Linked DNA regions of Caenorhabditis elegans. The protein of the gene in region 1 interacts with the protein of each later gene in a pairwise test. Each region holds a gene or a part of one and is shown in the gene's direction. Other genes may lie near its edges. The genes, in order: abhd-3.2 and F25D1.5.

Region 1 (5,214 bases):
CTAGTGTGAATATTGGTCAGTGCAATAAAACGTAATGTGATATTTTGTCAGTGCAACACATAGTGTTGAACATGGTTTAGCTCGAATCCCTACTGTATTGTGCAATCTTAAACTGATCATAATTTGGCTCAGTGCATTTGGTACAATTTGGAAATTTGAATTTCGAAATAAACAACAATTTTTATAAATGAAATGCAGTAAAATCTGTTACAGCAGATTAAAATTGTAAGAATGAAGTTCTCTGCATGTTTTTATTATTGCATCAACCAAAGTGGTCTATTGAAATACTTTTGGGTTTTTGAAGTGGAACGGCAAAAACAGATGACGAATGTTCTTCATAAGAGGGAAAACGACAGATTTTCTCATTTCAAGACGAACTATTGATTGTTAATGATTACTAGAGTTTTTTGCAAGCTGAATAAAGAACTCGAAACTACAATCTATAATATCTGAAGATTTGCCAAAGGAAAACTGTACGAAATGCAGACTGAAAGTTTGTTGAAGCCGCAATCTTTGTGGCAATCATTGAAAGTGGATTCGAAAGAAAGGAATTCGATGACAAACATCTTCTGTTCTGATGTGATGTGAGCGATATGTACTTTTGTTGTTAAAATGAAAAATGAAATACAGCTATTCTTCAACAAAGTCCCAGTAAATTGGCAAATTAGAATTCTTATATTTTCGTTGGAATATGTACCCTGAACGTGAACTTTAAATACAGATTACAATAGTTTGTTATTTCAGCTTGAAAACTTTAGTGGAATAGAAATGATATACTAATACAATTAACTGACAAAACATATGTAGTTTGATAAAACATTTGTGAGTATGTAGTGGCATATGCTACAAATTTATTTGCCGTTTGCCGAATCTACTTCTCGCCAAATTTGCTGCACACATGAACAATTTTAAATAAAAATTGTATCCAAAACTAATGGTTTCGATAAGATACTTGATGAAAGAAAATATAGCATCGTGTTTTTTTTTTCATTTTTATTCAAGAAATGCGCATTTGGCCGCGCTCGGCAAATTAGGCAAAATTTCACAGTTTTAATTTTATTTTTACAATTTTAGAGTATTTTGATTACTTTGAAGACCTGCAAAATGTTTTCAAATGAAGTTTTTGCCAACTTTCAATGTTTTAGATTTTTTTAAAAGTTTTACAAAAAAATTTCCAAAATGTTTTCTGATTGCAAATACACAAATTTCGTATGTAGTGACAAATGCAAAAAATAGATCGAACATATTTCACAGCTCTGTAGTTCAAGGATGGATTAATTAAAATTCAGTTACAGATTTTGTGAACATTTGTTTTGAAAAATCCTTTTTCCATTCAAAAGAGTTTTTGGTATTTCGTGTACTTTTAAACTTCTAAGCAGCTGTATAATAATATCTTTTGAACTCATATTTTTATAGTAAAATGTTCGTTGCCCTCCGGTTATTTTTTCTGTCTATCATTACCAAAAAACCAAAAAATTTTCAACTTTGTTCTCGCCGCAGAAAAAAACGCTTTCACTAAAACTGGCCTGATCTGTCAAAAAAATTGCGATGACTCTTATCAGACAAAAACCTTGAGTTTTTTCGGTGATAACAAGGCATTTTTAGTACAAAACGGCACTGTTATCAGATCTTCAAGTACATGCAAAGCTGATTAATGTTGCACCGCTCGTTCTATGAACTTTTCTTATCGAAACCATTAACTTTTGCGCCATCAATTTCATTGAAAATTATTGAATTGTGAATTGGTAGCGAAAAAAGTTGGTTTTTCTCTGTTCGGAAAGGTTTTTGGTTTTCTGTTCAGTTTTTTTTTTCATAATTTAACATTTCTCAAAGATTTAACTTTTTAACTTCTTTTTTCTGTTTACCTTTATTAATAGAGCATTTTCGGCTTACCAACCAAAATATGCACCCAGGAAACAATTTTTCCAAAATGTTTCAGCAGTCTTAGGTTTGATGCAATCAAAAAAATTTGCTAAAGTATACATTTTTTAGAGTCTTTTGCTTTTTCTTGCACCATAACTGCGCAATTTTGCTTTAAATTTTTATAAAATCAGTTTTTTACTTTTTCAGCTCAATATGGTTCTGCCATTGATTTTGACTTTGGTGATAGTTGCTCCGATATTTTTATGGATGTATTCCTGGTACATTTCAGCAGTACGTTTCATATTGTAAATATCCCGTTAAGAGAATAAGATTGCAGATACCGAAGCACTATGTTAAGCCTGGTACCAAGCTTCAAAAGAAGGTTCATTCGAATTTAAGGATTTTGGAGCAAAAGTACCATCCTAGTTGGTGGTGCCCCTTTGGCACGACTCAAACCGTAGTACGACAGATATTCCGGGATTGTCCATCGCTACCATTTACAAGGTTTGTTCAATTTTAAGTGTTAAGTATATATTTTGTATTTAATATACCGTAATTTGTTTACTAGTTTTGAGATATTCAGTTGGAGTTCAGAACTTCAAAAATTGAATTTATATAGGACGTAAGGGTGTGAAAATTCAGTACAAAAATGTGTTGTCTAGTCGATTGAACCGAGCTTAAAACACACGTCTTATCTAGAAACAAATGTGATAGTCATTTCTGTGGAGTCTAGTGCTTAGAAACAGTTTAGTTCAATTGAGCAAAAATTTGAATAGCTGAATCGATTTAGAATCTAGTTGGTTCAACTGGTATATTTACAGTTAATAGCCAAAACAACAATAATTGAAAATCTTAACTATGTATTGTTTCATAGATTCATAAACTTGATGTACGTTAATTCATATCAAAACGGAGACGCTGTCATTTCATCAAACTATTTCCAGAGAAATAGTAGAGTTCGACGATGGTGGTGCAGCTGGAATAGACTGGTTGATCCCTGAAGGTGCTGATGACACCACCCCAATTGTCGTTTTCTTGCCGGGAATCACAGGAAGTACTCATGACAGCAGCTACGTTCTCCATCCTGTCAAAGAAGCAAGAGATAAGGGCTGGAAGTGTGTGGTCGTGAACCCACGAGGACTTGGTGGTGTTAAGCTGAGAACTACTAGGACGTACAATGCCGCCACTCCACATGATTTTGCGTTCATTGCTAAGATGATTAATGAAAGATATCCGGATGCAAAGAAGCTGGGATGCGGGTTTTCCATGGGAGGGTGAGTGTAGTTTAGGAGCTAAAAAGATTCAGCAACACGCTTATTTTCAGAATGATTCTCTGGAACTATCTAGCGATGACTGGAGAAAATGCAGATCTGGACGGAGGCATGATTGTTTCTTCTCCGTGGGATCCCCTTGTTGCTTCTGATTCTATTGAATGCTTTATTCCACAACTTATTTTCAACAGCTTTATTGCAAAGAACTTGGTAGATATGGTGAGACCGTAAGTTTTGATGTTTTTTCGTTTATATTAGTAAGGTGTTTATTTTTAATATTTTAAATCTGATGACTTTTAAACAACAAACGTAGTTGGTATAAAAAATTGGCATTGAGAAAATTTGAGGAGACATGAGCAGGCCCTGTGCTCAAAGAGCTGGCAAGCTTCTCATTAAGTGATTGGTTTTTGCGCGTTAATTTGAAGCAATTCCTTTACGCCCAAATTTTTAGTATTTCCTGCTAAGCTATTAATGAACCAAACCCCTGAGTTCATAAGTAGCTCCCACAATTCCAGGTACCGCGAGCTATTCAAAGATATGGTGGATTTTGACGAAGTGTGCAGATGCAATACGGTTAGAGGGTTTGATCGATCTTTTGTGATTCCCATGTATGGGTTCAAGAGTTGCGATGACTATTACAGACAGGCTACTTTGGCGACAAAGGTAACATTTGAAACTTGGTTTGTAAAAATTTGAAAAATCAATTTCCAGGTAGACAAAATCAAGATTCCATGTGTAACACTGAATTCTGTTGATGATTATTTCAGCCCGGTGGAATGTAAGTTTTGGTTTGAACAGCTTTGAAAACTAATGTTCATATACAAACATGAGTGCTTGCTACGTTTCTCTAGTTCATAATTAGACGTGTTTGCTCTACGGTAATAACAGCAACCGACACATTGCGGGTTGCAAAAAATTATAAAACGTGTGGAATTTTTATGAAATATATATTAAATATGTAATTGAAAAGCTAGTTTTCTAATTACATTTTTTAAACAAAATACCAAATTTAATAATTATTCATACATTTCCCCTATTTAGGCATCCCTACATTAGATATAATGGAGAGCGACTACGTTTGCGGTATTATCACCAATCACGGAGGACATACTGCTTTCATGGAGTCTGCTGATCCAAATGCGCGCGGAATGGTGGAAAAGTTGCTCTCGCAATGGGGAAATATGATCTTCCATGATTATTCATGAGCTTTGATGGATTGTGCAATGTTTTCAAATTATACGTATTATTTTTGTATTATTAGGACTATTACACTTTTTGAACAATATCAGGTTTTTCAGTACATCCCGGTTTTTTATTATTATTGTGATTTTAATTTAATTTTTTAAATGTGCAAAGAGTTAATGGTTGCAGATATGACTAGATGAAACTCTTTTTTTGTCAAATAAAAACTTCAAACACGAATTGAAAATAGTGTAAAATTAATATTTGGCTGCAGTTTCATGTGAACGAAAAATTGTGTTATGTCCTTCAAATTAGAACCAGCCACCTTGCATTGAATAGTCATAAATCTGTGAAGTTTGCGTTAAGCTGGAGCTTTGGTAAAACCCTACCATAAGTACAGGGAACAATTTTGAAAAGCTCTGATACGAGTTAATTATTTTAGTACCAGCCGTGGACCGCACCTACGGCGCGGCCCCCGACTTTTTTGAGAAAACACATTAGATATACGGTGTCTATCGCGGACCTCGATCGATGTCTGCTGCGCATTTAGCATAAGGTTTCCCAAAATTTCGTTGCTCTGATCGGAGATCAAACTACATAGGGACAGAAGGACACGCGCTTTATATATAGTAAATGATAATTGTTGTCCTAGTACATCACGCATACGGATAATAATTCTTATACATATTTCATAGACTTTTGTTCAGGACCAAGTTAGTATAATGAAAAATTGGAGAAGATTCAGTTTTCTTCAGATTTTCTCCGACAGAATGCAAATTCTCCTGCTCTACTTCTGCTCCACTTTTCCACTTTTTCCATCTTTCCTCACTCTCCACAGCCTTCCTCCGTCTACGTCTCCACTAGCCTAGCCATCTCTCAAAATCGATGCTGGCACTGG
Region 2 (3,633 bases), on another chromosome or scaffold:
AAGTCAGGTTAGTTGTACGATAATATTAATTTTTAGCTAACACTGTTCCTTCAGACCTGTGAACAATCCAGAATCGTCAGCATATCTTTTTAGCGGGTTTTGTAGACACACTCATAAAAATGCTTGCTTTTTCAGTTTTGATTTTTTCCAGGTAAGTGTCCTGTAATTGTTATTTTTTACAAATATTCAAAATTCAGTTAGTCTTTGATGCCTCGTCCTTTGCAATTCCTGCTACATTGTTTTACAAATATACAAAAGTAACAAATATTAATATGAAAAACATAACTAAAAATCAAATCAGAATGATTCTTTTAAGCTCTTACCTTCTATCTTTAATTGTGGGGGTGAGTTTTGCTTTTCGTGATTGATCTAGAATGGAAATATGAATGTTTCTAGGTGATCTATGTGATAACGTACGAACCAGACGAATCTCTTGAGGTTGCTTCAGAGACCAGGAAGTTTCATTCAACACAATATGATTTCCGGTACTATGCGGATATCACTGGATATCAAAAACATTTTTGGAGCTGGTTAGCAACAAATTTGAATATGATAAGCATTTTCGTCCCACCAATCATGAGTATTGTGTTTATTAGGTAATAAATTTGAGTTTCGAAGAAATACTTACCAATGTGTTTCCAGACTAATACAAATTAAACTCAACAGTTTAAAACATTTATTTACTGATAAAACTGCTGCTCAAGCCAAGAAGTTTGATCTTGCTTTGACGATTCAGACACTTGTCCCTGCAGTTTGTGTGATTCCTATATACATAGCTCACTTAATACTTGAGAATTATGGTAGGCTCCTGTCCGTTTTTACAGTAAAATAATATGTGACAATTTTCAGACTTGCCGTTTCTCTCAAATTTTGAAAAAGTTCTATATATGATGCTTTCTCTTCCAACAGCTATTGATGCGTTCATTGTTATTGTCACCATCACACCGTACCAAAAAGCCTTTATTGCGTTTTTCAAGGATACGTTTTGTGGCAAAAAAGTTTCACCTGCAATTGTTAGACGTAACAATATTTCGGCTGTTTCCATTTTTTGAGCATTTTGAATAATTGGTAATGATAGTGGTGGACTAATCGGAGTAGTAATCGGAACTTTGCTCAATTGAATAAAATAACATTGTTCAAAGATATTACACAAGCACTTTTATAACAGTAATAAAAAATACCGACAAATGAAAAACATTGTTCGAAGATCTGCAAATAAAAATAACGATGAAAAAATATTTACAGTTCAACATTACACTTTAAAATAAAGTGCCAAAGCTCTCAAACAATTATTGTTAAACAAGTTTTTGGATCTAGAGAGACTATTCACCGTATTTCCTCACCAAATTAATTCATTTTGACGTCTAGTGTCGCACTACGTTTTAACGATACTAGAAATGTGTTATTAAAGCCCTAAGAAAAAGCTTATTGTTTATATTTTGCTAGTTGGCGAATGTCTGACAAAATTAAAAAAACAACCGAAAAATAAGCAGCTAAAGATGGAGAGATGGGTGCAAGACTATTGGACACGGAAATTATTTTTTTTTTAAGCAAATAAAATTTTAAAATTCCTGAAATCATAGTTGTGTTTTCATATTGAAAACTTGATCAATTGATCTTCCCTCAACTGTGCTTGCACAAAAATAGACACAATTCAAAGAGACGCAGAGGAATTAACAGTCACAAAAATTGTTACACTGTCTATGGTCTCTTCGGGAAGTAACTTTGAAAATACTCTCTACGTAAACAGATATTTCATATTTTAGTCACGGAAACTACAAACTTCCATTCAACCATGAAATAATTTTAACTGCAATGAGTATAAAAAGAAAACATTAAACTGCATTTAAACATCACATTCATCTGATTGACATTTTATTTTTGTAATCTCAAAATAATGGCTCGCTTTTCTGGAAAGTCTGTCATTATAACTGGTTCTTCTAATGGAATCGGAAGATCGGCTGCTGTGATTTTTGCAAAGGAAGGAGCTCAAGTTACAATTACTGGAAGAAATGAAGATCGCCTAGAAGAAACCAAACAGCAAATATTGAAAGCAGGAGTTCCAGCTGAGAAGATTAATGCCGTGGTTGCTGATGTTACCGAAGCATCAGGACAAGATGATATCATCAACACGACTCTTGCTAAATTCGGAAAAATTGATATCTTGGTATGTACATAGATAGAAAATGAAATATACTCAATTGTTTTAGGTTAATAATGCTGGTGCCAATTTAGCTGACGGAACAGCTAATACGGATCAACCAGTGGAGTTGTATCAGAAAACATTCAAGTTAAACTTCCAAGCTGTGATCGAAATGACTCAGAAAACAAAGGAACATTTGATAAAGACAAAAGGAGAGATTGTAAATGTTTCCAGTATCGTTGCTGGCCCACAAGCAGTAAGCTTCGGGAGAGAGGATTTCAGAACTTTTGTTTTAATTTTCAGCACTCTGGATATCCATATTATGCTTGCGCAAAAGCTGCGCTTGACCAATACACCAGATGCACTGCAATCGATCTTATTCAACATGGTGTCCGCGTAAATTCTGTCAGCCCTGGAGCAGTTGCCACTGGTTTCATGGGAGCGATGGGTTTACCAGAAACTGCATCTGACAAGCTTTACAGTTTTATTGGCTCACGGAAAGAATGCATTCCTGTTGGGCATTGTGGAAAGCCAGAAGAAATTGCCAATATCATTGTATTCCTGGCTGATAGAAACCTCTCATCTTACATTATTGGACAATCGATTGTTGCTGATGGAGGATCAACTCTTGTTATGGGAATGCAAACACATGATCTTATGTCCGTTCTTAGTCAGTAAACTATAACTTTTTTTTTCAGATTTTGTTAACCATTGTTATCTAATGTAATAGTCGTAAAATACACAATAAAATACATTGAATACTTTTATATAAATTGTGGTTTTAGGAATATATTACTTTTCTTTCGTTCACAAAGAAAAACAAGAGTTTCTGCTGCAGTTAGAAGTGTTGCTCCAACATATAATCCAATGGTTCCTCCAATTTCGGCTGAAAACTTTCAAAGTTACAAGCACATCGAGTAAAACTCACCAAGAAGTAAAAATAAGTTGTAGGATCTTTCTTGAAGAATAGTCTCTTGTTTAAAGTGTGCAAAATAGAACTTGATGTGAAGAAGATTTACTCTGAAAAAAGTTTGTTCCGTTGAAAGTACCAAGTTTAATGTTTATTTGCACGCATACACTCAATTAGAACAAGACGTCACGGCGGCGTCGTTTGCCATCACTGAGCTCACCCTACTCACAACTCAGATTACGCTTAAAAGACTTACACATCATATTGAGGAGTTGGAGAATATGACTGGGCCATCAAAACTTGGTTTCGAAGTCTTGAAAGCCATTCGCCACGGATGAATCGAGTTTTCTTTAAAATATAGAAATTAAAATCAGATCTTGATTTTTAAACTTTGAAATATTTTCTTATTTTATGTATTATTCGATTTTCCCCGTTGATCTTCTATGTATTACATTTTGTTACTATTTATCAAATTTCGAATAAACAAACAAACAAATAAATGTAATTTTTAGGTATTTTGAATATTTCAAAGTCAGTAATTATTCTTGCCTTTAAATTTGGCGCTTTTTCGTGAAGTTCA

What was found.
Region 2: the proteins of abhd-3.2 (region 1) and F25D1.5 interact in a two-hybrid assay, tested with the Caenorhabditis elegans proteins (one large-scale study listed by BioGRID).

Annotation. Positions count from the first base shown.
Region 1 is NC_003284.9:974,865-980,078, reverse strand, and holds abhd-3.2 (Protein abhd-3.2), read left to right. Parts: upstream 1-2,070; 5' UTR 2,071-2,076; coding exon 2,077-2,154; intron 2,155-2,200; coding exon 2,201-2,367; intron 2,368-2,807; coding exon 2,808-3,137; intron 3,138-3,187; coding exon 3,188-3,361; coding exon of another isoform or gene 3,362-3,365; intron 3,366-3,649; coding exon 3,650-3,797; intron 3,798-3,845; coding exon 3,846-3,912; intron 3,913-4,175; coding exon 4,176-4,339; 3' UTR 4,340-4,554; downstream 4,555-5,214.
Region 2 is NC_003283.11:10,545,017-10,548,649, reverse strand, and holds F25D1.5 (DeHydrogenases, Short chain), read left to right. Parts: upstream 1-1,866; 5' UTR 1,867-1,897; coding exon 1,898-2,167; intron 2,168-2,210; coding exon 2,211-2,399; intron 2,400-2,446; coding exon 2,447-2,821; 3' UTR 2,822-2,907; downstream 2,908-3,633. Other genes in the region: srd-34 (Serpentine receptor class delta-34), read left to right, coding at 1-7, 55-151, 198-344, 397-596, 643-800, 850-1,052; degt-1 (Acid-sensing ion channel 1), read right to left, coding at 2,908-3,029, 3,072-3,163, 3,310-3,401, 3,603-3,633.